Linked DNA regions of Tamandua tetradactyla. The protein of the gene in region 1 binds, or shares a complex with, the protein of each later gene. Links are inferred from orthologs where the notes say so. Each region holds a gene or a part of one and is shown on either strand. Other genes may lie near its edges. The genes, in order: FLT1 and VEGFB.

What was found.
Region 2: the proteins of FLT1 (region 1) and VEGFB are in contact, whole or in part, in a crystal structure (PDB 2XAC), measured with the Homo sapiens proteins. The link is inferred for Tamandua tetradactyla from reciprocal best matches to the Homo sapiens genes FLT1 and VEGFB. Residues at the interface, in NP_002010.2 of Homo sapiens: Tyr139, Glu141, Pro143, Phe172, Pro173, Tyr199, Ile202, Gly203, Leu204, Asn219, Leu221, Arg224, Thr226; in NP_003368.1 of Homo sapiens: Ser37, Trp38, Ile39, Tyr42, Thr43, Thr46, Cys47, Gln48, Pro83, Asp84, Asp85, Gly86, Leu87, Cys124, Arg125, Pro126.

The regions. Positions count from the first base shown.
Region 1 is NC_135330.1:193,739,294-193,754,286, forward strand, and holds the start of FLT1 (vascular endothelial growth factor receptor 1), read right to left. Parts: upstream 7,483-14,993; 5' UTR 7,418-7,482; coding exon 7,354-7,417; intron 1-7,353. UniProt on the Homo sapiens protein: Tyrosine-protein kinase that acts as a cell-surface receptor for VEGFA, VEGFB and PGF, and plays an essential role in the development of embryonic vasculature, the regulation of angiogenesis, cell survival, cell migration, macrophage function, chemotaxis, and cancer cell invasion.
Region 2 is NC_135335.1:10,403,202-10,417,963, forward strand, and holds VEGFB (vascular endothelial growth factor B), read right to left. Parts: upstream 8,026-14,762; coding exon 7,966-8,025; intron 7,701-7,965; exon of another isoform or gene 7,364-7,700; coding exon 7,321-7,363; exon of another isoform or gene 6,987-7,320; coding exon 6,790-6,986; exon of another isoform or gene 6,640-6,789; coding exon 6,566-6,639; intron 6,371-6,565; coding exon 6,335-6,370; intron 6,089-6,334; coding exon 5,875-6,088; coding exon of another isoform or gene 5,853-5,874; intron 5,723-5,852; exon of another isoform or gene 5,601-5,722; intron 5,238-5,600; coding exon of another isoform or gene 5,216-5,237; 3' UTR 4,782-5,215; downstream 1-4,781. Other genes in the region: peptidyl-prolyl cis-trans isomerase FKBP2, read right to left, coding at 962-1,023, 1,121-1,156, 1,473-1,519, 1,629-1,741, 2,081-2,245; uncharacterized protein LOC143646665, read right to left, coding at 2,550-3,347; DNAJC4 (dnaJ homolog subfamily C member 4), read right to left, coding at 8,687-8,801, 8,894-8,980, 9,666-9,830, 9,915-10,099, 10,589-10,682, 11,322-11,407; uridine diphosphate glucose pyrophosphatase NUDT22, read right to left, coding at 12,159-12,299, 12,554-12,647, 12,734-12,831, 13,229-13,327, 13,773-14,252. UniProt on the Homo sapiens protein: Growth factor for endothelial cells. VEGF-B167 binds heparin and neuropilin-1 whereas the binding to neuropilin-1 of VEGF-B186 is regulated by proteolysis.

The DNA.
Region 1 (14,993 bases):
ACAAAACAGCATGTCACAAGGCGAGGAGCACCAGGGGAGCCCTACGAGGGTTGGAGGTGAGCAGAAGAGACCACCAGTTCTGTCTGGGACCTACAAGGAAGCGCTCACAGAGGTGGTGATTTCGGGGCTGGATTCTGAAGGCAGAGGAGAAGGAGATGCAAGAGGAGTCAAAGAGTGTTCCAGGCAGACAGAGGCATGACGCGGTGATGGGTACGTGACCCATTCAAAGCAGTGTGAGTGATTTGTTTGACTGGAGGAGCTTGTGTCACTGTCACACAGGGTGTGAGGGGGGAAGTGGTGAAAGACGAAACTAGTACCGAAGACAGTACTGTTTAAGCCACAGCGGTGCAAAAGAAGGGAAGGAAAACTAAGCTTCTAACCAAATCTCTTGGTGTATTACAAAACAGTCAGAATTCTGAGGTTCTTAATTTAAACTCCTTATGGTATTTAAGCAAATAGAAGGTAATTGCACATACAAAAAAGATGTCAGAACCATAGAGATCAGTGGTTGCCAGGGGTGGGGGTGGGGATGAATGGGTGAAGTATGGGGGCTATTTCGGGCAGTGAAACTTTTCTGTATGATGTTGTGATGGTGGCTACACGGCACAATGCATTTGTCAAAACCCACAGAACTGTACAACACAAAGAGTGAACCCTAATGGAAACTAGGGACTTTAGTTAGTAACAATGCATCAATATCAGTTCATCAACAACATTGGTAACAAACGTGCCACAATAATGCCAGATGTTAATAACGGAAAACTGGCAGGGCAGGTGGATATATGGAACTCTGTACTTTCTGCTCAATTTTTCTATAAACCTATAAGTGCGCTAAAAAAAAAAGCCTATTAATAAAAAAAAGATACTGGATTTGCAAGAAATTTTAGCACTGTACTCATGCTATTTAACAAATGTTTAAGTATCTCCACTCTGTTGGGGGTAGAGGAAATAGCTTAAGAAGCAACGTTATCTATAGTATGAACATTAGGTTCTCTTTGTGAGTCTGCCCCAGCCAGCTGTTGTTGACCTTGAAAAAAAGTCACAAAACTTCTCTAGGCTGTTTTTTTCAACTCTGAAAGTCTGCTGGGTCTATGAGGTTCTATCTGGCTCTCCCAACGTATGTGTCAAAAGACAAGATCAAGTCTCTCTGATTCTTTCTCAAGAATCAGAGAAAGGACCAGACATCAGAAATGGCTTTTAAGCACCCAGGTTTACCAAGACTGATGGGAAATCCCCAGGAATTTTGACATCTTTCCACATCCGCCTGGCTGCAATGCAGGAAATCTAGTGCACTATCTTCGGCAGACTCAGTGGAACCATTTCCTCAGGGCACCCCCCCCTGCAGTGCCACTGGCTGAGCCAAAGGCTTTCCTCTCAAGTCCCCCCTCAATTATCCCATTCTCCCATTTCCTTTTTTTGGGGGGGTGGGGTGGGGATTTCAGTCACCTTTATTCATGGCAGACATTTTTGGTGGAGAGACTGCCTTGGAAATCTTTCTCCCCCATTACTTACAGAACCCAACTCCCATCTAAAGCCAGATTCTCTTTACTACAGTAACAGGCAAGATCATCTCATTTGCCATTTACTAGGCTTGAGCACCTCCTGCCTCAGTTTCACCCGGCCTTGCCTGGCAAGGGTGTAAGGACCTCCTAGCACCACCCACAGGCCCACTCAAAGTTGTTTCTGCACCTGGGGCATAACAGTCACTAATCCATTTTATTACTGGACAATTTTACTCTTCTGTTCCCATATGACTTATAAATAGGATACACTATTTCTTAGTAGTTTTATATATTTGTAATAAAATCAGTCAAGACTGGCAACATAGGAAACAAAAAAATCATACTCTGTTCATTCAGGATTTTCTCTGTCAAGAACTATACTATCCCTCAACTTCTAAAATTTTTCAAATGTTTGTTATATAAAGTCATTCTGCTGTGACAATCACATGAGTCTCCTCTGAGGCCAATAATACTGGCCTCTAGGTTTAGCATGCCTGACGCCACATTTTTGAGTGATAAGAATTTTTACCCCCTGGCTTCTATGAGCAATAATAAAATGGCTACTCTGAAAAAATTTAGCTAAGAAATTGTTAGATAAAATAGTAATTCTTAAGACCTCATCCTACTACAACAAAATCGTGTGTCATTTTCAGCCCAGCGACTGACGCGGGCTTATTGTCTCTTTGTCCATTTCTTTTTCCAAGGAAAAGACAGAGTAAGTGAATTTTAGAATCCTGCCAGAATTTTTATGGTAACCAGCACAGATGAGCATTGTAGGGTTCTACAGTATTAGAATCCCATGCAAAACTCTAACATTCAATTCCACTAGGCTATTCTGTTGTTTTTTTGTATTAAAAAATCCTAACACACTAAAGTAGCAGAAGTTACTTCTCATCGACTTTAGCATCTATTTCAGGGACTTAAAACAGAAATAGATCTGCAGTTTGATTCTGAGTTTTGGTAAGAAGTTAGTGCCAAATATTTCTGAATAAACAATTTTTAAACCTTTTTGGCCAGTTGAAAAATACTGCCAACCTACTATTCGGTGTTAGTTCAATAGCCACTTTGTGCTGAAAATTTTAAACCCTAAGCTCCTCAAAGATCAAACTTCACAAAATCTACTCATAATCAAAGGATTTACCATGTCTAAATTATACCCCTTTTTTTTTTAAACAGCAACCACTATAAAAAGAATGCCAGAAAAAAGCAACTTCACAAAATACACTAAAATATTTGACAATATTATGTACGAACTGCCAGAGTTTTAGTGTTTAGTTTTGTATTTAGTAACATGACTGACCAGGGTCCAAGATGTGAATTACCATGTTCAAGAAAAAGGGGGAAAAAATCACTCTGAAAACGAACAATACAGTATATAAGAAGGCACACTTTATAATATAAAATCTGTGTACACACAGTAGTTGCAAAAAGCCATTAGGTCTTCTCTTGGCTTGTGAAAAAGGTGTTCCAGATTTCTCTGTGAATTAGCAACCTTTCAGTTCTTTCACCCAGTGTCATGAGGTCTGCAATGTTTTTCTCCAGATCGTCATATCATCAGTTCTCCCACTGATTTCATCCCACAGAATTTGAAGTTTATCTTGCATCATTGCTAGAGTGTCTGCACTCCCAAGGCGAGATCCTGCGAGGTCTCTGGGCTGGCCTCGACCATCTTCCCCATTCCCAGCTTGGCGGTGAAGTCTGGGCCTGTGACCTACACTTCCATTTCCTTTTGCTTCCTAGATCTTATATAAAATCCAGCAATTTAACCAACAGCCTGCAATTTCCAAGCCATCCAAGTGTGTGAGGAATCAGCAACGATCCTGGAAAGCATCTGGCAAGAGATCTTGTCATTCCTTTATTGGCTTCTCTAATGTACTAAGGTCAATGGAGCAGAATGGATTGTTCTACTCTGTTAAATTGCTTAAGCCAAACCCAACAGCTGTTTTTATGCTTTTAACCACTCAGTTATATATTTTTACTTAAAAAAAAAAAAGAATGAAGCTGGTGTCATTTCAAATGACCTTCCTCCTGTACCCACAATGACAAATACACTGATGAATTATCCTGACTTGATAGTGAACATACTTTAAACCAAGCAATGGAACTAGGAACATGATATAAATGGACTCTCTTATATCAGCAAGCTTTACATTTAAAACCCCAAGCGCCAAGATAAGCTTCCCTCACTTTCTTTCCATTCCCATATCCCTTCTCACACACACCTCAATTTAAAGCATTACAGAAGCTACTTACTGTTGTTTGTCCTCTTCTTTTTTTTTTTTTTTACATGGGCAGGCACCGGGAATCGAACCCAGGTCCTTGGGCATGGCAGGCAAGCACTCTTACCTGCTGAGCCACCATGGCCCGCCCGTTTGTTCTCTTCTTGCCATTAAAAACAGATCTATTCCAATGCTGAATGATGCAAGCCAAGGTAAACCTCAGGAGTAACCTCGGTGCTAAATTTTTTTGGTCAATATAAACCCATTTTTCATAACATATTTTCAACTGCTGTGTTATATCCTTTCGGAGTAGATTTAGAAATGTCTTGATTTTGGAAAGGAAAAACAAAGTGATTTTTGGTTTGCTTCTAAGAAGTCACATAAAATGGGTTCAGGAACTCTTAGAATATAGTTAGTTTTGATCAAATAAGTAAATGTTATTTAAAAAAAAACAAGAAATGCATAAGGGTTTAAAATGACTGCATCCTCGGAAAAGTCAAATCATCTAGAGTTAAGAAGTAGTGTCTACTTCATAGGGCAGCCCCCAAAGCTTAGCTCTTTGCAAAACACAGCTCACAAAAGACCAAGTTAATTGGTTAGTCAGGTACCTTCTCTCAGTGCAAAAAAAAAAAAAGTAATGTGATCAGTGATAGCTGGGGAAACCCCGGTTTATTCTTCTAGCCCTGCTCTTGCATCATGTGGCTTATCATCCATACTGTATACAAATGTAGATAAGGGGGCCAGAAAAAAGCTAGAGACAGACAGTGTGTCATGCTATTTCTTGGATTCATTCATTGAATGCAAGATTTGGAAAAGTGCCTTAGAAGTCAACCATCTATATGCCTTCTGCTTTTTTACATAAGAAAACGAAAAACCCACGTGGTGATCACTAGAAAAGAAACTGGATAGACTAGCATAAAACTGATAGCAGAGAAAGAAAGAAAAAAAACAAGTCCTAAGTCCCTATTTTAACAGCTATTGAGGGAGTAGTCAGGTGGCTACCTGCAAGGCATCTGAAACAGGTTCCACCAGTGGGAAAACTATGCGGTCTCCTGAAGGTGCTAAATAATTATTTTAAATATGCAATTTACAAACACACCAAAAAAAAGTGTGGCTTCACAAACCTTGGAAAAAATGACAAAAATAGTTTCGCAATATTAGGTTTCTTAATGAGACGCTTATTGATATTTTATTGGAAATGTGTACTATTTTCTTATTTTTGGTATAAACTTATGATTAATTGGACTTCCCTCACAGATTTACAATTTAAGCATTTCCAGTGGTTATAGAAAATTGTAAACGTCAGCTGCTCAAGAGCTCAAGAAAACTGAGGGCAGAAAAAAAAAGGATCCGTGGCTTTAATTAATCATGGGCCTGATGCTTAGAAGTAAAAAAAAAGGGGGGGGGGCCTACTTGGAACCGGAGGAAAGGAGGACTGATACATTTTATGGAGGAAGAGACGGCAATGCAGAGCACTTGAAAGGACCCTAATTATGGGCATCTTTTTATTTCCCAGGATATATGGAAGAAGAGAAATGTACTCTTTGGGGGAAGTTCATAATCTTTTTGCGTCATTGACACACCGGTTATTTCACATCTTGGTGACCCAGCGCACATGCGCGCTCACATATTATTAATAACTGATAAATATTCAAAGGCTACAGCACCCGAAGGACTTAGCAATAGGTGGAAACCAATTCCTAGTAAACCCAAAGGGTCGAAAAGTGGCAGTCTGCGTTTCAGTTTGAATGTCTTAACGCGGTTTAGTCTTGAGCTGTTCGTTAACCAGCGGGGGGAAACCTGCGGGTTCCAAAGGCGCGCTTTGCCATTTCCAATCCCCACCGCAGACGGAAATTCCGGAGACAGTCAGGTAAAGGGGTTCTCGCTTCGCCCATGTTTGTCCCTCCTTCTTCCCGTAACACATATATAAATTTTTAGAACTCACAAAAGAGTTCCAAGATTTCTGTCCCATAAAATAAAATCTGAGAAGAAATCACGAGAGAGTTCCACGCGAGCTTCTGTAGCGCTCCCACCGATCGTAATTGCTCTGGTCGCAAACAGAACTAGAGGGTCAACCACATTTTGGAAGCAGAAATAAAGCTGCCTGTATTTATAAGAACATATCATTTCCCCCGACATTTTTTGGATTCACAGTAATTTGCCTAGATTTCCTTTGCATGATAGAGCAGCTTCTTGGGCAAGTTATTTAAACGCTCTATGCCATACATTTCCACATAAGTGACTTTTCAAAATGCAGAAAGATGTACTTTTTATTTGATGTAGTTATTTTAGCAACTTTCCCAACCTGTAGCCACTTCTCAGAAACCCTGCCTCCCGGTTTCACCAACTTAATTGGAATTATTTCTTGCTATTTAGAAACTGACGGTCTAATTGTCTTCCCACTGAGAAGGAATATTTAAATGCTACTGCCGTCTGGGCTTAACAAGCATTGTTATTATTATTATTATTTTTAAACATTTCAACCCTACTGACTTCAGGCCGAGAAACGTCGCAATGACTTTTTGTTTTATGTTATTATCTTTTATTTCACATTTTACCTTTTCTCCACGATGCTTAAAAGAAGGCGCTCCGAGATCCGATTCTCTGCGCCCAGGACCCGACTAGAGGGCGCGGCCCCCCGCGCGCCTGGGCAGAGACGACGAGTCCGAGCCCCTAAATCCTCCCGGGCTTTGCCTCCATGGCCAGGGCCAGCTCCAGACCAACTGCCCCTGGAAGCTCCTGGCCCCTGACGGCGCCGCCGCTGTTTGCCCTAACGCCTGGCAAAGGTAGACTTAGGAGGCGGAGCGGACCCCACGGCATCTTTTGGCCCGAATCGTGCTTTCTTTGCTCAGAATTTAAAGGCGAGGCTCGCAATTCAGAAACTTAGCGGTTTTGGGGTCCTCGGCTGCCCTCGTCCGTCCGGGTCACTCACATCGGCGACCTGGTCTGGACCGGTCACCGCCCGCCCGGAGCAGGGGCTCCGCCGGCTGACTGCGCGCAGCGCGCTCCGGCCCGCGGTGGGGAGGCGGCCCCTGTTCCCACGACAGCCCGGCTCCGGGACCCAAGTGGGGCGAGGGTGACAGCACTTGCCCTCTCCCGGGATCCGTCTGGTCCCCGCAGGCACGCGGTTCCCTCCGAGTCTGCTCTGCTCTTTCCCACTCTCGGGGATCTAGGTCGCGGCCGGTGACTGTCGCCAACGCCCGGCCCCGCACACTCCGCGGACCCGCACCAGGTCTTCCCGGGGCAGCTGCGAGCGCCGGCAGGTTCCGGTGCGCGACGACCCCTGGCGCCCGGAGCCTCCGCGGGCAGATCCGACCCGCGAGCCCGCAGCGCGAGCAGTAAATCTGGCCGCCGGGCCGAGAGGGTCGGAGAGGATGCGGAGGTCCTCCGGCAGCCGTTCCCCAGGCGCCGGCTCCGGGCACCCAACCGCCGGCGGAGGAGAAGGGCACCGCGGCGCAGGCGGGGCCCCACGGTGTGCTCCCCAAGTGCCCCGGGAGGCTCTCCCGGGGGCAGCCTCCCCTCCCGCCGGCCCTGCGTGAGGACACCAGGTCCACCTGGCCCGACCCACGGGGTCTGGCTCCCAGCCGCCCCATCCCGGCCCCGCCCGGCCCTGGCGCGCGCCCGCGGCTCACCTGTGAGAAGCAGACCGCCGAGCAGCGCGCACAGCAGGACCCCGGTGTCCCAGCAGCTGACCATGGTGAGCGCGACGCGGCCTGCTCGCCCGGTGCCCGCGCTCTCCGCGGGTCAACCACCCAGCAGCCCGAGCCCGCGCTCCTGCGCTCCGCCTCCGGCCCCGCGCTCCGGCCCTGAGCCCGAGACTTCCCTCTGCGCCGCTCCAGCGAAGGGGACGAGCACCATGCACCGGTAATCCTTGCAGCCTGGCGCCCGCTGGCCGCTGCGCCCGAGCCCCGGAGCCCGCTCCGAGCCGCCGCCGCCGCCGCCGCCGCCGGGGAGGAGCCGCGAGGAGTGTCCGCTCGGCGCGCTGCCCGAACTCCCGCGGACCTCAATTAAGAAGCGCCGAGGGCGGGGGCGATTTATAACCTTTCCCCAGCCCACTTCCTAGCCCGGGCACCTCCTTCCAGTGACGTCAAGGGGTCCCCCACCCCTCATCCGCCTCCCCACCTGCCCTCCTCTTCCTCCCGCGACCCGCTGCCCGACGGCTGGAGGGAGGGGCGGGAGGGCCGGGGGCGCGCGCGGGGCTCGGGAGCGCGGTCCCAGCAGGTTCAGGGTCCTTCCTCCCGCCTCCCGCCCCCACCCGCCTCCAGTCCATCGCGGTCAGGAAATCCTCGTAGGCTCCTCCGCCCCAGCTTACTCAGCTCGGGGGGCGGCCGGGGCTGGGGAGGGGAGAGGGCCGGAGTTTCACGCCCGACTCCGGGGCGGAAAGTCCGAGCGGTCGCCCCTCCTCCAAGCCAAGGGAAGTGGGCCGCGCCTCCGCGACGGTGTCCTTGGCACCGAGGAGTGAGGCCAAGTCGGGCGCCCTCTCCTTCCCTGCTTGTTCCGCGCCGCCCCGCCGCCCCCAGCCCTGCCAGACGGTCCGGAGCCGCGTAAAAAGAAGCCGGAGACCCTGGGCGCAGAGCATTTGGCTGGAAGCGCCCCGAAGTGGGGGGCTGATGCCTGCCTGGCACCTTAGAGCCCAGGGCGAACACACTTGGGTCCCCGGGGAGCGCGTCTCCGTCTTTTTTCCCCCCTTCCAAGTCATTTCCTCAACTCTCTGCTTCCTAAAAGCAAAACAAGGAATAACGTGATAATACCTTTAAAAAGGCGGAGGCGTGAAACTGCTCCTGCAACTTATAAGGGCTGAGCGCTTGAACTTTAGTCCCTAAATCTCCTTGCTGGGTGGCGGCTGTCTGCGCACGACGGGAACAAACCAGTTCAGTTCACTGGGGGCACTAGATCACTCGCGATGACATTAATTCCACATTGTCGCTCCACGAAGTCTCTGTTTACCTCCACGGCTAAAACCGTTCCGGCTCCGCCGGGCACCCTAGTCTTGTCTCTGTTAAGTAGCGCTGGTTTAAAAACGTAATTCTTTTTGGAACCTGCCAGGTCACGATAAAAGGACTGTACTGGCTTCTGCACCGGGCCAGCGACTCTTCCCGAGCGGCTGGACCACCGCCCTGCCTGGGGAAGGTTGGGCAATGCCCAGTTGCCACATCTGTGGGCAGCACGGCCCGCGGCGAGGCCGCAGCACCCCGCGGCCCCCGCAGGAAGCCAACGCACGTATGCGCACCTGGAGGCCCGGCGCCCCCGGCCTGCGCGCGGCGCGGAGGAAAGGCAGCCCCTGCGCACCGACGGGGCTCGTCTGCCAGCTTCTTGCCATCTCTCTCCAGCTTGTTTCCAGCGCCTCGCCACACTATTGCCCTCCGGGTTCTCCCTGGCTCCTTCTCTTTGCCACCTCTAAACCTGTCTCCTACAAAGCCGCAGGATTGCCCGCGTTCATCCCCCCCCCCAGCCCCGGGCACAGCTCCGCCTCCCCACCCAGCCAGTCCTACCTCTTTTCAGAGCTGCTTGTCGCTTCCACCGCCTGTCCAAGGTGCGGCTGTCCGCATCCCCCTTCTCCAGCACCTCACAGGGTCCAGGCGTCGAGGTCGGGCCTCAAATATTCCGAAGAAAAGACGTCGTCTCCGCCTTGGAAAGGGCTTCGAATTTGACGGAGAGGCAGAGTGAGAATTACAATGCTGGGGGGTGGAAGGGAGTGCTGACTACACAACGGAGCAGAAAAGACAAGGCACAGAGAATTGCCCAGGAACGCAAGGAGAGGCTTGAGCTGTCTGTGGGGAAAGGGGACCTGGAATCCCTATTTCCGTAGTGCAATCTACAAAAATTTAATGCAAACTTTAGAATTTTTTTTGCATGGACAGGCACCGGAAACGAACCCCGCGTGGCAAGCGAGAACGCTGCCTGCTGAGCCACTGTGGCCCGCCTATTAATGCAAACTTTTAAATACTGGTTTTTTGGGGGGAGGGGGGATAACTTTGTTTTTAAAACACACCGAGAAACAACTCTTCCCAAACCTGCTGCCAGGAATGAATTTGACAAACTTTATAATTGGGTAAGCAGATCTAAGATGCTAATCGACAATAATACTTTACCTTAAGTTTAAAACAGTTATGGTGGTAAGGGGTACAGTATGTATGGACCTTTTTCTTTCTTCTTTTTCTTTCTTTTTCTGAATTGATGCAAATGTTCTAAGAAATGATCATAGTGATGAATATACAACTATGTGATGATATTGTGAGTTATTGATTATATACCAAGAATGGAATAATCATATGGTAAGAATGTTGGTGTTTGTATGTTGTTATGTTTAAAAAAAATTAAAAAATTAAAAGACAAACTTCACATAAAAGACCTTCAAAAAAGCAAAACAAACCAACCAAACGAAAAACAGTCATGGTGTATGCTAACAGATTTACACAAAGACCATTCCGCAGTAAGGGTGGTCCCCTCAAATACCCCAATTATCCCTTTGGAAATTTGCTGGCTTCTGATTATATTTAGCATTTTGAAGAGTTTTACTACTTCCTCTTTTGTGAGCCTCCTAACAAAAAACTCAAAATGCTACAAGTTGTCACAGGGTTTTGTTAGTGATTTCATTTACCTGAGGTGTAAGGAAGGAAAGCATAGCTGTCAACCTCTCCTCGGAACAGAGAACACCATTGAGTGAGAATGGGCTACAGCCCTCTCCTGCTAAGCCACAAATGAAAGGGGTTTTATAGATAATGGTGATGACAAAGATCAAATTCAACGCGCCTGGTGGGTATAAAAAGCTATTGAAGTGGAGTATCTACCAGCTTCCTGCTCCCGTACAAAAGACCATTTCATCTCCTGCCTGGTTGGCAAAACCAGACTCTCTCGTTATCAGCTACAAACATTCTCTGGAGGATTCTTCCCAGTCCCCATTCAGAACCCAACTGGTACAACCAACAGCTTTAGTTTTCAAACCTGGGGCATCAGTGTGACAGGAGGTAAGCCAGGGTCTCATCTTCCCATCATAGACCAAGCAGGCAAATGAGGCTCAATCACAGTTCCATCCCCACGTGGGCTAGTTAGCCTTATACAAAATAATAAAATAGACTCCATGGCTGCATTGTCCATACTATAAACATAGAAGGTATATCTCAAGATTCAAATGACCTTACAAGACGGTTCCGTGTTATATGAAAAATAACTCACAATACTGCCCATTTCATAGTTTCAGTTTCCTTGATCTACGAAGCACAATCCCAAACCTTTTGTAGAAAGATCACTGAGTTCACCAGGTGGGCACATCTATGGTTTTGGTTGTGAGACATGTATAAGTCCACTGATGCAAAAATCTCACTCATGGCAACCTGCCGTGGTGGCTGAAAATTCTCCATTTCCAAAGAACATAAACACACGGTACTGGTCTTAAAAGAAATGTAAGGGTGGTGCACCTGGGGCTCAGTGGCAGAATTCTCACCTGCTGCTGGAGACCCAGGTTCCATTCCTGGAGCCTGCCCATGTAAAAGAAAGGGGGGAAAAAGACATTTAACCCATTTACTGAGCTAATTCATGGATTTCCTTTATCACATCCTTTTCAAATAGCCAGCCAGCTATGCTCCAGTATCTTTAAATGGAAATGTATCCAGCATTCAAACACCCACCTCCTGTGCCTTGGACATCCTCGCCTCTCTAGGCTCAACGTCCTGGCTCCTTTTGTCCTTTCCCAGATGACTTGTTCTTTAAATCCCCTCCAGCTCCTCTCAGCAGTTCCAGTTCATCAGTGTCACTCCAAGTGAGAGACTCAGGATTGAAAATGCCTCGGAACTATGATTTTCCTCCTCCTAGAGATTTGGAAGAGTAGAGGTGAAAGAGGAAGGGAAAGTAGCTCAGCTGGTAGAGCACTAAGGTTGAGGGGGAAACCTCCTCCTAGAGGTGTAAAAGATGGGGCCAGTGCCCACAGTGCACCCACCTGTTAGATGGGTGCAGGCATGGGGCCAGGAACTCCCTCTCTCCTCTAGGGTTCCACAGGCTTCAACCCGTTCCTGACTCCCTGCTCCTTTGTAGAGGCTGCTTACTGCTGCTGTGCCTCTAAGATCTCATTTTGATTTATCTGGTTTCTGGCTGCGTTTTGAGGCTGTGGATCCCAGTCCTGGAGTCCTGGCTGGCCCTGCTCCTACATTTAGTCCCCAGGGACTGTGACACAGACACTACACGTCTGCTATGGCAACCTGAGATCAAAGGAGCATTTTCTGTTGACCACTTCATACTGGAGCCTCTTAGGGAGCTTGCTGTTGATTCAAATCCCTCAGGCTTTTTCACAAAGGCTCTTGTCTGCCTGTCCTTGTACAGCCATAGCTGTTGAGGACTCAAATGGCAGACCCTTAGAATCACTTCTACTAAACTTCTTTTTTTGGTTTGGTCCATTTTTCCAGCCTGTTGACATCTTTTTGGTTTCTAATTCTTCCAAGCAGTGCATTTTCTATAACTCCTGCTTCAAATTATCCATAAATATGATTTTAAAAATGCCCTGAAAAAGTTATTTAGCCTTTTATGAATAAAGAAATCTGCAGAGGCTGAATAAACCATGGAAGGACTCAGATCACTCCTTTATTCATTATCTCTAATATATACTCACCAAATGGTGCTGCACATGAACTTGTTAGCATTTACCATGACATTATTTAGGATAACTGAAGATTCTAGTAAGAGGAATAAGGCAGATAAACCTTACCCAAGGTATTCTAGGAAAGTTTAAAAAAAAAAATGGTCCAGACAGATAATTACAGAATCCTAGGGAAGAAAAAAGACAAAAAATAAAAGATAGTAATACCTAAAAGGAAAATAGTAGGCCAAGGAAATCTGTATAATGACCATCTAATCTTTTTTCATTAGCTAATTTGATCATTTTATCCTAGCACTTAACTGCCAGCCATTGACATTTTCCCTTATTCTCTTTTCATATTATATTACTTTTTTTTTAATTTTTAAATTAATTTTAAGAAAAAAATTACAGGAAAGAAACACAAACATTCCCAATATGTGATCATTCCATTCTACATATATAATCAGTAATTCACAATATCATCACATAGCTGAAGATTCATCATTATGATAATTTCTTAGAACATTTGCATCAATTCAGAAAAAGAAACAAAAAGACAACAGAAAAATAAAACGAAAACAGAAAAAAAACCATACACACCATACCCCTTACTCCTCCCTTTCATTGATCACTAGCATTTCAAACTAAATTTATTTTAAGATTTGTTCCCCTTATTATTTATTTATTTATTTATTTTATTTAATTTTTTTTACATGGGCAGGCACCGGGAATCAAACCCGGGTCCTCTGTCATGGCAGGCAAGCATTCTTACCTGCTGAGCCACCATGGCCCACCCCTTATTATTTATTTTTATTCCATATGTTCTACTCATCTGTTGACAAGGTAGATAAAAGGAGCATAAGACACAAGGTTTTCACAATCACACAGTCACACTGTGAAAGCTACACCATTACACAATCATCATTAAGAAACATGGCTACTGGAACACAGCTCTACATTTTCAGGCAGTTCCCTCCAGCCTCTCCATTTCCTCTTAGATAACAAGGTGATATCTACTTAATGCATAAGAATAACCTCCAGGATAACCTCTCAACTCTGTTTGGAATCTCTCAGCCATTGACACTTTGTTTCATTTCAATCTTCCCCCTTTTGGTCGAGAAGGTTCTCTCAATCCCTTGATGCTGAGTCTCAGCTCATTCTAGGGTTTTTCTCAATCCCTTGATGCTGAGTCCGAGTTCATTCTCGGATTTCTGTCCCATGTTGCCAGGAAGGTCCACACCCCTGGGAGTCATGTCCCACGCAGAGAAGGGGAGGGTGGTGAGTTTGCTTGTTGTGTTGGCTGGAGAGAGAGGCCACATCTGAGCAACAAAAGAGGTTCTCTTGGGGGTGACTCTTAGGCCTAATTTTAAGTAGGCTTGACCTATCCTTTGTGGGGTTAAATTTCATATAAACAAACCCCAAGATTGGGGGCTCAGCCTATAGCTTTGGTTGTCCACACTGCTTGTGAGAATATCAAGAATTCAAGTTGGGGAGGTTGAATTTTTCCCGTTCTCACCATTCCCCAAAGGGGACTTTGCAAATACTTTTCCTCTTACTGATCAAATCACTCTGGGATTCATTGGGGCATCACTCTGGACAAACCAACAAAATCTCATGTCTTACCCAAGGTTCCATGTACTTATGTTGTTCAACCAAGCTATTTACATAAGTTATATTAGGAAATGCACTAGTCAAAATATAAATTTTGTACCAAATAAACATTTTTTGCTTTAGTCTCACACATAAGTTGAAATTGTAAAATATTAATTACCATCAATTTCATATTTTATTACTTTTAATGCACTGTTTTGATTACAAAATATAACATTTTAGAAAGATGGAAATGGGGAAGGACTAAAGACGGACCCATAATCTCATCATTTCGGCATGACCCCTATGCTCACCTCAGTGAATTTCATTCTATTCTTTCTCATATAGGACCCTTTTATTTTTCCATGTTTCTAAATAGCTTTTGTAATTATCATATTTAATAGCTGAAGAATATCACCCAATTTCGCCATTATAAGTCATCCAAAAATCATTTTAATTTGACACTGGTAGTTTTTTTTGCCCTTTGGATACACACACACTCAGTCCCCCTTCCTCTCCTCCCCACAAAGGAACCCTCTTCACATACACACACACACACACACACACACACACACGTTGTCATTCTTGCCTCACTTGAAACTTCCTCCAGCTTAGTCCAGCAGTGGAGCAATCAGAAAGAGAGGGCTCATGTCACAGTATATGATCCAGTACACGCATCCTTTCATTCAGTGAATATGTTTAAGTGCATGCCCCAGACACAATACTGAGCCAGTCCCGTTGAAAATGGTAACATGGGAGACATAATGATTGCCCCAGAAGTTCTTCTAGGATAGTTGAGAAAGTCACACTTACATGAAACATTAGGAAACAATTCTAGGTGAATTAAAAGTAAGAACAAGATGAGATGAGTGCTAAAAGGAATTACCAATGACTAAATTGGGAAGTGGGTCTTTGAGCTTTGAAGGAAGTTACAAGTTCATAGCAGCAGGGAAGAGAGGAAGTTCTGGAAAGGAAGAAAAGGGAATGTCAAAAGTCAGCTCTGTGAGGAGGACAGCATGGAGGAGGATCCAGAGACAGACGAAGGTCCTGGGGAGTGGGCGAACGGGGCTTGTGGAGGAAAGGTTGAGGAACCTTGAATACGTGGCGGGTAAA
Region 2 (14,762 bases), on another chromosome or scaffold:
CTCACTGTTGTACTTGCCCCTCCTCTCCCACCGCCCCCAGGAGCTGCTGGTTGACTGTTACAAACCCACTGAGGTAAGTGGTTTCCCTAGAGGCTGGGCTGAGAGGAGCCCGGGCTTCCGTGGTTTGGGGGTCTGGTCACCCTAATGCGCTCTCCTCTGCCTAGGCCTTCATCTCTGGCCTGCTGGACAAGATCCGGGGCATGCAGAAGCTGAGCACACCCCAGAAGAAGTAAGGGTCCCGGACCCGGGTGAACGGTGGCGCCCACAGGACAATCGCTGCCCCCCGACCTCGTAGCAACAGCAATACCCGGGGGGCCCTGCGGCCAGGCCTGGTGCCATGAGCAGGGCTCCCTGTGCCCCTGGCCCAGGGGCCTCTTCCCCTGCCCCCTCAGTTTTCCATTTTTGGGGTTTTTTATTGTTATTAAACTGATGGGACTTTTTGTGTTTTTATATTGACTCTGCGGCGCGGGCCCTTTAATAAAGCTAGGATATACCTTTGGTGCAGCTCACAGGCTTGCCTGGTCTCTTTTCGGGGGGACACACCGTTCCCACTGCTGCCAGCTCAGCTTCTCCCCAGGTGGCCGCACGCTTTCCTGAGGGCCACGTAGCCATGGTGATAGCCCAGTGCTGGCTCCCAGACCAGGAGGTGAAATGGCTGGGGAGCGGTGCCAATGCTGTCTGCAGGCAAGAAACCTGCCTCTCCCTCTGGGCAAGGGCTACCATGCCACCCAGGGCTGGCCATCCTGACTCCCGTGCCATTTACCCTAGACCCCTAGGTTCTGCTGCCTGGAAGAGAGAAGGGGGGAGTAGCTGAGGGAAAGGAGAAGCTGAGGCTGTGGTCTCGAGTCAGGGCCCACAAAGAAACACAGGCTCACTCCTTGGGCTTTAAGGTTTTTGTTTTGTTTTGAAACAGTCTGGTCCCTGATGGGGGGCCTCCCCCAGCTGCCCCTCCCCAGATGGGCTACAGTTCTGAACGTCGCTCTATCTTGAGCAGCTCCACCTCGAACACCAGAGTTGCACCGCCTGTAGGGGAGAAGTGGGGTCAGAAACAAGGCTACAGGGAGAAGGGATGGCAGCATGGGGGAGGGGGCGGGGGGGTGGACATAGGAAGGTATGTTACCTGGAATCTTTGGGGGAGCGCCCCGCTCTCCATATCCTGTTGAAGATACACAAAGAAACAAAGTGAGCTGTGGCCAGGCCCTCTTCCAGCTCGACAAGATGGTCAGAAAAGAAGGTGTGATGGAGAAAGCAAGAAGAGAGGGCAGAAAGTGGACACCAGAACTGAGTGTCTAAAGGATACTGCCCTATTCTCACTGCTGGACCCAGGCCAGTCTGGGCAGAGGCAAGTGCTGGAATGAAAGGATGGGGTGGAGACCAGCACAGAGGCTGAACCAGCCTTCCCCCTTCCTCCTACCCCCTTCCCCAGACATACCCCCAGATCGTCCCCATTCCTCCCTGGGGAAGTCTCTCACCTAGCTCTGATGGGATCACCAGCTTCCGCTTTTCCCCCTCACACATCCTGCGGGAAGACACATGTTCAACACATGGCAGGCCCCAGGCGCCCTACCCCCACCCTTGGGGCCCTCCTCCCATGGCTCATCTGGACCACAGCCGTGGACCCGACTCACCCCAGCAGCCCCTGGTCCCAGCCCTTGATGACCTGGCCGGTGCCAAGAGAGAAGACAAAGGGCTGGTTCTGTGGCAGGCTGCTGTCAAATTCCGTCCCATCCTCCAGCTTCCCCTGTGGGATGGTGGGAGGGCCAGTGAGGGGGAGGGGACCGCTCTGAGTCCCCTCTCCCCCCAGCTGCCCCCCCATCAAGCTGGCCCCCACAGCACTGGTGGCCACAGTCCCTGAAGGACGCAAAGCCTTGGGCAGCTCACAGCGCGCTGTGGTCACTTGCTGGTGCCAACCTGGGGAGTAGACAGTCCAGGGCAGGATTTAATCAAGAAAACTGGCTTCCAGGGGAGAGGGAGCTTGCCCAAGGTTCTCCACGTGGTTAGTGGAAGAACCTGGCTCCCAAGTCCTTTCTGGTTCCCAGAAGCCCCACCCACCCCACAAAGCTCCGCCTCCCACACCCACCGTGTAGTGCATGTGCAGGACGTCACCCTTTCGCGATTTGATGGGACAGTGGTCCACCCGCTTCTTGACCCCGATCTGCAGCTTGCGCTTGCCCTCGGCACCCGCGACCGTGGCCAGGGCACTCAGGCAGACGGACAGTACTGCCAGGACCCAGTTCAGCCTCATGTCTCTGCAGGCACAGATCCCGCCGGACCGGGAAGAGGGCAGAGAAGGCATGGAACACAGGCAGGTGCCTGGAGGATTCTACCCCGCTCCCGCTGTATCATGCCTGCCCCTGCTGATTCCCTTGTCCCGGGTCACCGCCCCTCCCCCGGACTCCGCGGCCACACTTACCAGTCCAGGGAGAAGGGGGCTTGGCCGAGGACCCCAGCAGCGGGGGGAGGGGGTCAGGGGAGGCCACAGCTGCCAGGGCCCCGCCCCTTTGCTCTCCCCCAGACCTTCCCTCCCTCCCATTCCCCGGTCCCACTCTTCAGTTTCCACCCGTCCCTTTGCGTAAAGTCCAAACTCTCTCCGGCTGCACAGCGGACGCCCCGACGGGGCGGTCCCACTCACGCCACACCCAGCTGCCCCCGACCCAGCACACCCACACCTCTGCGGCTGCTGCAGGAGGCCGACCCCGAGGCACCCACACATCGCCGCTGGGAGGCTCCGGAGAGCCCCGGTCCTCCGGAGGGGCTCCCCAGCCGGGCTGTTTGTCTCCTCCCGGGGCGCCGCCCCAACTCTGGGCCCTCGGGGGTCTCCGGGGCACCCACACTGGCCCCGTGTCCGGTGGCCGTCGAGCCCGCTCCACCCACACCACCTCTCCTGGGGGAGTTCTTGGTCTATCACGTCCCCAGGCCCGGCCTCCACGCAGCCCACCCGCGCATGGACGCCCCGAGCCATTACCCGGGGCTAGGCCCTCGGTGGGCTCCTTAGCCCCACCTTTCACCGACAGTGGCTCCGCCCCCTGCCCTGGAGCCCCGCCTTCGGCAGAACTAGACCCCTTTTCCTGAACCGTAGCCACGCCTCTCACTGCCTGAGGCCCCACCCCCAGAACCTGGCCTCCGTCCCCCTCCGCCTCCAAACCCCAGGCTCCGCCTTCCACTGGTTCCAGCTCCTCCTCCAAGCGCCAGACCCCGCCCCCCACCGGCCCTGGCTCCGCCACCCGTCGCGTAGCTCCGCCTCCCCCTGGCACCGGCTCCGAGGTCCCACCCGTTTCGGCTCCCCCGGCCGCCCCAAGTCCCGGGGCTCCACCCCTAGAAGCGTGCGGTCCCGCCCCCTGCGGCATCCCCAGGCAGCTCCGACCCCAAACCCCAATTTCCTCTTAACTTATCCGTCGTTAACACTCGGAGCCCCGGCCCGCTCCTGCCCGGCCTGGCCAAGCTGCCCTCCTGCACCCCGGCTTCCCCCAGCCTGGGCTGTGGCCCCCGCTCACCTCCTTGCCGCGCCCCCGGACTCAACCCCAGTTGTGCGGCTGCCTTTGCGCAGGCGCGTTGTCGCCGCTACCAGACCGGGCCACGCCGCCCTCCCTCATTGGACCGTGCGAAACCCGCGGCCCCAAGCCCGCTGGGGCGGCTTCCTCCCTGGCTCCGCCTCCCCCGCCACCGCGTGACCCCTGCGTCACTTCCGGTGGGCGGCAGTGAGTAAGGTTAGATGAAAGTGACTTCCGAAAGGCCCGAGGGCACTTCCGGCAGAGGTGAAGTTGAGGTCACGCTGTCTTGGGTTCCCCGCGGGGGTCTTGAGACGCCATTTTCTGTCGCCCCCAGCCTCTCCCCGGTCGCCCTGTTTGCCCATGAGCTGCTTCATAATGTACAGTCCTTAATTGCTGTAGAAACAGCCGGGTCTTCAGAGTTAGGCTGGGGTTTGAATTCGGATTCTACCACTCACTGATTGGCTGTGTGACCTTGAGCAAGGTCCTTGGGCTGCTAGAATGAAGCTCCCCTGGGAACACGGGCCTTGTAACATAGGACTTCTGTAGGATTGGTGTGGAGCACTGGGCCCAGGCCCCAGCCTACAACGAACGTTCTTTACCTTTCTCTCCCTCAGTGCTCGGGCTGACTTATACTTGCTGCTAACTGACCACCGAGTCATCACTGAGTCTGCCTGGGCCTGTTTCCCCCATCAGACTGTCGTTTTCAAGTACCCCAGCACCTACCAGTGCCCAGTGAACATGTGTCAATTGGAGTAAAGAACCACAGCGGGAGGCAGTCAATCCTAAATGGTATGTCAGGGAGCACTTTGGGGTCAAAGCGCCAGGTCCGTTAGCTTTGCTGAGTTCGGTTACTCAAATATAAAAAGAAAATGCCAGGACCAACCTCACTGAGAATTAAAGTGCATTGGCTGTCTGGCAGGCTAAGTGGGTTGAGGAGATGGTAGCTCTAGGGCCCCTAACCCTCATGTGATTCACTCTGGCAGGTGGCATGATGAGTAACATCAGGGCTGAGAAAATGATTTGAAAATAGTAATCAATGTCTCCTGAAACTGTCTTCTTCCTTTTAATTCCCCTCCCGCTTCCAGCCCACCGAAATCATTACCACCCCCTCCAATGTCACACCCCAGAAAAGCTTCTGTTGGGGTAGCAGCTTTGGGGTAACCTCTGCCCCTGAAGTCATAGTGAATGTCCCCTCTGCAGAGAGAACACAACTTCTGCCTCTTGAAGGCAATGTGATGCATATTCATGCCGAATCAGCCAGCCTGGACAGTGACAAACGACACAGGCAGGGACAGCTCCTTCCATCTTTTTTTTTTTTTTTCTTTTATCGGAGTTGGGGGATCACAGCCCTTGTACCAAAACCCAAATCTCATTACTTGCAGAGGATTGGTGTCTTCTTAGCGGGGCAGGGAGGAGCTAGGTGTAAGATGCTTACTTGCACAGGATGGTTAAAATAGAAGGAATCTTATTTTCCTCCAAATTGGTACATGATTCCTCTGGATGCCCTCATGTCTCCTCATTCAACTGTGCCCACCATGTTGGATGTCAGTCTTGGGGGTACAAGGGATGGCAGGAGAGGCCTCTGAGAGACCCAGGTCCTGGAGCAGCTTGCACCCCAGCTGAGGTCTTGGGGGCTAGGCTGTCCTCACCAGGCTCCCCTCTTGTCCCCCTCTCGGGTATGGCCTGTGAGGGAAGTATCCCTGCTGAGTCTGAAAAGCAATGTGTCACCTTCGCAGCTTCCGGCACCTAAGGAGGGAAGAAGGGAGTCTGTTCACTGTAGCTGCACCCAAGCTCCTCTGGTTTACCCTCTTACTACCTTCTGTGAACCCCATTCTCTCCTAAGAATCCTAATAAGCCCCACCTGACTTGAAAACACCCTGTCCTGTGGCCTTGGTGTGGAGTAGAGGGGTGAGAAACGCCTCGGGTAGGGGTGGTAAACTGGATTCCACACATCCCCTGGACTCTCAGAGCCCATAAAGTGGGATCAGTGTCTGTCTTAAAGGCTTCTGGGAAGGTTCACAGCTTTGCAAATTAGGACACTGTCTCCCTCATTCTACATCTACAGTCAGATGGCACCTCCTCCAGGGTACCTTCTCTGACCTCTTGCAGGAGTGGTCAGACGTCCCCCATGCAGCGTGCGCCATCTGCGGCCGGCATCATTTGCCCTCGGATCCCCCTCCCGCACCAGAATGCGATCCCTCTTACACTGTCCTAGTGCCAGCAGGCGCCTGGTAAATATTTGTTCAACACATTCAACAACTTCCCATTCCCCTGGCTGCTTTCCCACTGGCAGGTTTGCCCTGAACTTGCTCCAGGGCAAAGCCTTGATGCCTCCCCAACACCCATTCGCAAACCCCTCACCTGCACGTGTCTGGGTTGAGCTCTAAGCCCCGCCCTTGGCAACGGAGGAAGCTGCGGCGTCGGCAGCGGCAGCGGCAGGTCCGGGGGTCAGGGCGCTGGCGGCGCTGGGAGCAGCGTGGGCAGAGGGGCCTGAGGCTGGAGTGGGATGGGTGATGTCAACTGGGGAGGGTGCTCCGGGGACGGAGTCCCAGCCCGGAACAGAGCGGGGCTGGGGGCGGTGGTGGGGAGTGGAAGCCCTAGGAGGAGAAGCAACATGTCCAGGGTGGGAAGGCAGCGTCTTCCCGGGAGCTGGGGTTGGGTCAGACCACAGTGGATTCGGGGAACAGAGGGAAGAAGGGAAAAGGGAGATGGATGGGAGGAGAAAAAGGGGAGGGGACCACAGGTTCCTGAAACATTCATATACCCCTGCCCTGCCCCCATGGGACATCCTGGGGGCTGGGGCTGAGCTCCAACCCCACCTTAGTGGGAGCCAAGACGCTTACCTGTCTGGCTTCGCAGCATTCTCTTTTTTTTTTGGTCTGAAAATTTAAGAGAGACGGACACACAGAAAGAGAGGGAGGATCAGGAAATCCAAGCATCCCACTCTCTTCTCCCAGATCCCAGGCCTACCCCTGGCTCTACTCCCAGAAACCTGGTTTCCACCCCCAGGTGCCATCACACCCAGCACCCCAAGCCTGGTCTTTGTGAGTGCAGAAGCTGGGCCTGGCTGGCACCTGCATTCACACTGATTGTGCTCTTCCAGCGACATCTCCCCCAGCTGACTGCTCGGGTACCGGATCATGAGGATCTGTGCTCAGGAGGACAGGAAGACAAGATGGTGAGACAAAGAGGACCTTGGCTGCCAACACACCAACCTTCTAGGCCCCCAGTCTTAACCCCAGAGTGCTGGCATTCCCCCCCCTCCTGCACCGAGGGTGCATTCCCGGGGCCCCAGTACCTGCATTCGGACTTGGTGCTGCCCAGTGGGCACACACTCCAGGCCGTCGTCAGGGCAGCAGCCACCACAGCGGTGCACGGTCACACAGCTGGGCACCAGCTGCTTGGCCACTGTGCCCATGAGCTCCACGGTCAAGGGCACAACCACCTCCCGCGGCTGGCAGGTGGCGCGGGCATACACGTCTATCCATGACACCACTGGGGGCAGACCGGGCGGGAGGGGTTAAGTTTCCACTGGGTTTCCTGCAGCTGCTCCCTGGTTCCCCTACTCTCCCCTCCCAGCAGCTGTTCTCCCTAGTCCCATGTCACCACCATCCTCTCCCTGTCTTCTGTCCTCCCTGCCCTGCTGATGCAGACCCCAGGAATCCCACTGCCTTGCCTCAATTCCCCCTTCTGTGAAATGGGCAGAGTAACAGTTTGCATCTCATAAGTGAGTTGTGATTACACAGTATGATGGGATAATGAAACCCGGAGCCCGGGCAGGTGGCAGACCCTCAGTGTTGGCAGTTACTATTACTGCCATCACTGTTACCTTTCTTCTGGTGGCTGGGGATCTCAGGCTGGCCATCAGGAGCCTGTGGGAGAGGAGAGACCAGAGGTGAGAGGGGAATACCTCCCTGAACCTGGAGCACCCTCTAGGACAGGCTGTCCAGGGTGCTGTTCCAGGGCTGCCCTTGTGCTCAGGAGGCTTCACCTCTCTGATGTCTTCCCAGATTGATCTGTTCCTGGGGCCACTGCTCTAGCCTTACCTGTCCTCTACCGGCCACCTGGGACCTGTCCTGGCCCATGACCCGCCTGGGGAGCTCTGCAGGCAAGCCTCGAGGAATCTCCAAGCCTCGAGGCTGGGCTTGTTCTGGAGGCCGCAGGTTGGGAGGGGGCACCGTGGGCGCCAAACCGGGTCCTGCGGGCACAGAGGTGGCCCCGCCTCCGGCTGCGCCCTAGGGACGGGGTGGGACTGGGTGGGGCTGGGTGGGGCGAGGGAGTGGCCCCATGGCTGGGCGGACGGGTAGGCGGGGAGGGGCCCCTCCGGGAGATGCCCGGACCGAGCCCCCGCGATGCCCGGCTCCTTGGCTGGGCCCCGCGGGTCCCCTCGGCCGAGGGCGCGCCGCGCCTCCCCACTTCCGCCAACCTTGAGAGAGGGCACGGCGCGAGGGCGGGATGGCGGGGACGGTCGTACCTGGGCGGGAGCCAGCTGCAGGAGCGCGGCGAGCAGCAGGCGTCGGAGCAGGGGGCTCATGGTGCCCGCGGGGGCCGCGCGCCGAGGGCGCCCGCATCGTCCTAGCCCGGCGGCGCCGGGGGCGGTGGCAGCCAAAGCCCCATGGCGCGGGTCCGGGCGCGGCGGGCGGGGGCCGGGCGCGGGGGGCGGCTCCTCCGCGGCCCCCTCCCGAGCCCTGGGTGCAGGCAGCGCAGCGCAGCGCAGCGGCGGCGGCCGGAGGAGCCGGGCGGGCGGGCGGCCGGCGGCGGCGGGAGGCAGCGGGAACGGCGGGGGCAGCGGGGGGCCGGGCCCGGGCTGGCGGGCGGGCGGCTCATGTGACCCAGACACGCGTTCCCCACCGGGCCGCGGGGCGGGGGCGGGGCGGGGGCTGCGGGGAAGTGGGGGGGGGAGGCCGCTGGCGGGGACCGCCCCCTCCATACACCCCCCCACCTCCCGCCGCGGCCGGGGAAAGGGGACGCACCGCCCAGGGGGCCGGACTCCCGTCCCGGGTTGCGGCCTCCAGAACCCGGAGGGCGGAGCGCTGCTCCCATGGTGAGGCCCTGGGTGGGGGGCACCGGGCCTGAAGGAGGGAGTCAGACGGGCGCTCTAAAAATCACTTTATTGCACGCGTTTGGGGGTGGGGGTGGGCTCCGGGAGTGGAGCCAGAGGAGGACACACGACAGGCGCCATCCGGGCGAGCCCCTCAGGGGCTGGCGCCTGGGGACACGATCCCGGGGTCTTGAGGAGGCCGGGGAGGCGGCGTTGGCGACTGCTGCCGCCTCTGCTGTCGCTCCTGCTGGAGCTTTGCTCTTTTGGCTCTGGCGGAGAGAGCAGTTGGGTGGTTGGGGAAGCCATCCCGCAGGACCGTGCCAGGACAGTAAGGTGGGGGCAGGAAAGAACAGGGACAGACCTGGCCTGGGCCCGCGAGTCATTGTAGATGGCTGTGATGACCCGGTCCTTTTCATCCATGAAGTTTCGGTGCATCTGCTCCAGCTTCCTGCAAGGGGACTGTTATTAACCCTGGGCTCCCCATCCCTGGTGCCCCCCAAGTCCTGCCCTCCCTGCTTCCCCAGGACTTCAAAGTTTTACACCTATGGGTACTGCAGCCTAACTTTGCCTGTGATAGGTGGAGAGAGGGGCAGAGTGGGCCAGGGTTTGTCGAGGGTCGAGCGGCAACCACATCCCTAGCTGTGACATTGAAGGTGCTGACAGTGACACTGGACATCAGGGTGCTGCATTAGAAGACTGGAAAGGGTTGTGCATCTAACCCCATCTCTGAACTGGGCAGGCTGCTAGCAGCGGGCACTGGGCCTTATATATCTTTGCTTTAGAAAATCACTGCCTGGCACGCCTGGAAGGGAGAGTGGTAGGGAGACTCCCGGGTGAGTGAGGACAGTTGCTGGCAAGACCATATTTAAAAGGCATTTGCTTGTTGTTGATGATTTCTTTGGCTCCAGTGCTTCCTGGCAGCTGGCGCCAAAGGTTTACGTTCAAATAAAGAAAAACTAGAAGTGACAGCATTAGCTATGAGCACCCATGCCTCTGCCAAGTGCTGCAAAGGCTGGACTGCATGCAATTTTCAGCTTGAAGAATACAAAGGTGGGAGCCACAGGGGCTCCCCATGCTAGCTTCTCTCTCCCTCCTGCCCTCTGCCCATCCTCCCAGGGAGAGCAGGGACACACCTGAAGGCGGCGTAGTGCAGGCCCATGCCTGCCAGCATCAGCAGGAGGCAGTACCCCAGCACCCGCTGGTTGTGTTTGTGCTGCTGCTGTCTCGACTCAGGCCCCTGCGGCCTCACGCCATGGAACTGGGCCCAGTAGTGTGCGTTGGGAGGCTCCCAGGAGCTGCTGGGAGGGAGCAAGAAGAATAATGTGGGGATGAGGTCTCCCTGGGGGGGGGAGGGGGGCAAGCTGGGGGCGGGACTGCTGTACCTGTGTGTGTGGCTGGCTGGCCTAGGGTGGGCTGTGGTTCCTGGAGACTTCGGGGGGCTTGCCCAACGGAGCTGGTGGTCGTAGCTGTGGCGGCTTTGCTCGCGACTGAGGACCCGGTATGCTTCATTGAGCTCCACAAAGCGGCTGTGCAGGGCCGGGTTCCTGGGGTCTCGGTCAGGGTGCAGCTGGGGTAGGGCAGGGCTACCCTCATTTCCCTTGCCATGCTCACAATGTCCACCCACAAGGGCTCAAATCACTCCCAGAGGCCCTGGCTGGTCGGTGACCTTTTTATTCAGGTCCGCCTACCCTTCTGGAAGGCCAGAGGGTCAGGAAGCTCAGACGCCTGCCCCCTGCCCTTGTTCAAGCCCTCCCTGCCTGCTAGGTCTCCTCCAATACCCTCTCTCACTGTGTGCTCTGCTCTAGGCCTTCTCAATCAAGAGCAGACAAGCAGGTCAAGAGAACCTAGCCCAACCCAGGCAGGACCCCCGGCTCCTGCCCAAGCCTTTCCTCCTGCCTGGCCCAGGACTCTCTATTCTTAAGGCACCTCCCACTCCGTATCTTGCAGGTTGAGGGAATGTGGCACCAGCTCAGCTCTATCTCAGTCTCACTGCTGGGAACTCCAATCCACTACATCTGGCTCAGATTCCCCTGGCCCCACATAGAGCGACTGGTACCTCTTTGGACTTGGTGAAGAAAGCTCGTTTCACTTCTTCAGCGCTGGCTCCAGGATGTACCCCCAGCAGCTCATAGTAGTTAGTGGGGCCAGACCTGTGGAGAGAGGCCCTAACCTGCAGGAGCTGAGGGAACCCAGGGGATATTCCTCTCCCCATTCTACCCCACCTCTTTGGGCCACACTCTTCGACTCAGTAGCCAGGAGCTGTAGGGGCTGAGGAAGGCACCCAGGCAGAGCTATCCCCAAAACACGCCTCCTTTTTAAGATGTCAGGCATGGTGCAGATCAACACTTCTCAGTCTGTGGTTCTCTGACCCCTTGCATCAGAAACATCTGAAAAGCTTGTTAAAGGAACTGATTCCTGAGCTCCACCTCGTTCCTCCAGACCAGAATATCCAGGTCAGGCCTTAGGTGCCTGCATTTTTGCAGCTCTCCCCCTTCCCCAGGTGGGTTATGCAGTGACGTTTGACAACCACTAGTGTTGGGGAAAGCGTACTGGGTTTGAACGACACCGGGGCTCGAATTCCAGGTCTGCCACTGAACTTGCTGGATGTCTTTGGGGTCATCCCTTAATCACAGAAGGTGAGGGTTACCTGAGACCAAGCCCGTAAGGCACCTGGCTCAGGGGAGAGAGACCACAACTAACTCAGCACAGAAGGCAGGGACTAGAGCTCAGCAGGTCCTCCACGAACACCCAGCGAACGACCGGGCCCGGGCCCCCGACGCCCGACTCACCGCTGCCCGGCAGCCTCTCCGAGGAGCCGGGAGGGAGGGCCGCGGGGCCACAGCCGGCACAGGTGCAGGGGCCGCAGGGGCGGCATGGCGGCGGGCGGGCAGCTGGGGGAATGGAGACCGCAAAGAGGTGTGCATTGGGACCGGAATGGGGCGAGACAGCAGGCACCCCGGGGGCAGAGGGAAGAGATCTTGCGAAAGAAGGCTGAGGGCCTCCTTGCTCCGGGGCCCTTCCCCTCGCTGGTCCTTTGGTGTCCCGACCACCAGCTCCGGACGCCGCTGAGACCCACCCACCCCTGCTACTCGCCCAGGGAGTTTGGGGGTGGGGGCGGGCAAGGGAGGAGTCGCAGCTAAGCCCCGCCCCTGCCCCACTCACGGACTCCACGGCCACCGCCATTTCCTGCGCTTATTCGGAGGCCCCGCCCCTACGCCCTCATTGGTTTAGACGCCAGGGCCACGCCCACCGGCCGGAAGGAGTAGGTGTGCGGGGAAGGCCCCGTCCCTGCACGCCCATTGGCCCTTGATGCCTCGGCCCCGCCTGCGAGGCCGCGGCCCCCGGACGTGCTGACAGGCGCGGGCCGGCCTGGTGGGAAGCGGGCGGGGCCCAGCCTGGGTCCAGCCGACGCGGCTCCGCGGTGACCCAGCAGTGGGGCCCGGGGCCTGAAGAAGCGGACACAGCCCTCGGCCTCAGCTTGCAGCGGGGCTGGGTTTGTTTGTGTGTTGTTGTTTTTTTCCCCCAAGTCATTTGCCCTGTCTCGCTCAGTCACTCCCAGTGGGCGCCTGTATCTCGTGGAAGTTGCAGACACCAACAGAATCCAAGAATAAAGTCCTTTATTGTCTTCAGAGCCGTGGTGACTGGGCTGGGGATCGTGGGGCGACTGAGGCAGGTCCTCCCTGGACCCGGTTGTAGAGGAGGACCGCGCCTTTGGCTGAGGGGCAGAGTTCGGCCCAGCCCTGGGTCTCCTGCAGCCTCCACAGGCTCTGTGGGGGAGAAAGTGGTGAAGGCCACTGGGCAGGCAGGGAGACCCAGACATCCAGCCCTCACCTCTGCCTGAGCTGCAGAGCTCTCGGGAATGCACCCTCCAGAGGAAGACATGTCAGGGGCTGGAGCAGGTGAGCTCGCCCTCACCCTTGGCCAAAGGCATTCCCAAGTGGAAGCCTTGAGGCTTCGGAGGAAAGCTCCGTGAGATCTGGGGGACTCAGTCTAGCCCAGGCAAAACGCAGCCGACCCGCACCTCTGTCTCCACAAAGATGATGTCTGTGGACTCGTGGGCCTCGGGTCCCCCATTCAAGTAGTGCTTTCTCACCTGCTCGGAAGTCAGACTGCACCTGGGAAAGGACATATGGGTGTCTCAGCCCTGCCCCACAGCCACCTACCCCAGGACCCAGCATCCTGTCCCCCAGAGCCCACTCACTGTATGAAGAACTCGGCACTGGCCCGGCCGGCACTGGTCTCGTTGCAAGCAATGCCCAACAGCAGGGGCCGGCTCAGGGTGGGCAGCGGCAGGTTTACCTGGGGCCAGGGGTCCCACTTGTCAGTTTCCACCCCAACCCCCCACCCCCAGAAAGAAGACAGCCCCTTACCTTTGTGCAGCATTTTACAGTTTATAGATCAAGTGCCCAGTATGGTATTATTCATTTTACAGACGGGAAAATCAAGATCAGAAAGACTGAACAATTTGCGTGGGGTCACCCAAGGAAAGTGGATTTAGTAACTAGGACTCCCATTTACTCTTCTTTCACAAACCTAAGGTCCCAGTCCAAGTGTGCTCAGCAGCAGAGCCAAGTTCTTCCTTTGATGCCAGCCAAATGCCTGCAGACCCACCCCCCGGCCCGGATCTGTGGAATTCTGACATGTTCTACCCTCTCCCTTCATGCCCACCTCCCTGCCTGGGCTGCCTCTCACTCACCTCATCACAGATCTCCTGCAGGACACTGGAGAAGAGCTCCTGTACCACCAGCTCCCCGGGGAGGTTGTCATGCCTGGGTCTGTCACCAGCGCACAGGGCCTGTGAGAGGTCAGGCTCAGACCCTGCTCCCCACCTTTTACCAGCCTGTCCTGCCAGTATTCACTGGCCCTGAGGGCCTGGGGTGACATGGTGTAAGTCTTGGTGATTCCCCTGCCCCGGGCCCTCTTTTCCAGATGGACAACCAGAGGCTTAGGTACAAAGGGGACTCACAGGGCCAGGGGTGTGTGAAGTAGGGTATCTGCTTCCTCTACCCCCACAATCCCCCATTCTCCAGCTTCTCACAGGGCTGAGGCAGGGGTCAGTGGGGAGGCTGAGGGGCTGCCCTGAGCAGAAGTATACCAGGCCAGCCCAGCATGTACCTCTTTCCAAACAGCCAGGACAGGCTTTACTGCCACATTAAGGAATGCAGAAACCAAAGCTGGGAGGGCTTGGAGCTCCAGATCTCTGGAGCTGTCCAGGTCTTTGTGCCCAGCTGAGTGCTCACCTGAGGCTCAGGATGCCCCCCAGGCACGTCCACCAACCCAGGAGCCTCCGCCACCTGCCGAGAGCGGCGCAGGAAGACGAGGAAGCCATCTGCAGTGGCCAATGCAGCACCCACCCCTAGCGGGTCCGCCAGGTAGGCTTGCCTGTCACCCCAATCGGCAGCCCCCTGCTGTCGCAGCCAAGCAGCCGAATTGGCCCAGTTCGTGCCCAGGAATTCTCGGTAGGAAGTGAGGCCCAGGCACAGGAGGAGCTGTGGGCCTGGAGAATCAATGGGTGCCAGGGTGGCAGAGTGCAGACGGAATTTGGGGGCGTCGAAGAGCCAGGGCTGGGCCTGGAGCCGGGCCTCCCAGATGGCAGCGATGTCCTTGTCCCCTCCTGGCAGTGGGTGACGGTCAAAGGCTGGGCTCAGCTCTGCCCGCACCTGCTCCTCAGGAAGCCCACCCTGGGGGCACTGCAGCAGCAGGGACACCTCGGGGTCCATGGTCTGAGCAGGGCGGCTCTGGGGGAGGACACAGCCGGTCCTGTTACCTCCAGGGTCTCCTGGCCACCCCTGGGCCCGGCAGCAGGCCCCCTCTGCCCCAGTCTTCCTGAGGGAATCCCCAGCCCCTTGACCACTGCTTGGGCAGTAAGGTGTCCTGCCATCCTCGCCAGGTCCCAGCTGGATACCTGGGCAGGCTTCCCTGGAACTCTGGGGCACCCCTACAACCCTGGGGTCCTGGGTCCAGTCACCCCCAAATACCCAGGTCCCCCAAACCCAGGGGTCCTGCCTCCAAGCCCTGACGCGCTGACAGCCCTCCCGGGTCCGGAAGCGTCGGCCTTCTCCCGGCGCTCACGCGCAGGCGCAGGCGCGGCCCACAGTCCCCGCCCCCTTCCGGAACGGAAGTGCCCGCCCCCTACTTCTGCGGCCTCTCATTGGCCCGACCTGGAGCTCCAGGCCCCTGCTGGGGGCGGCCGCCTGACCCCCTGCAGACCGTGCGCCTGTAGGTCTTGA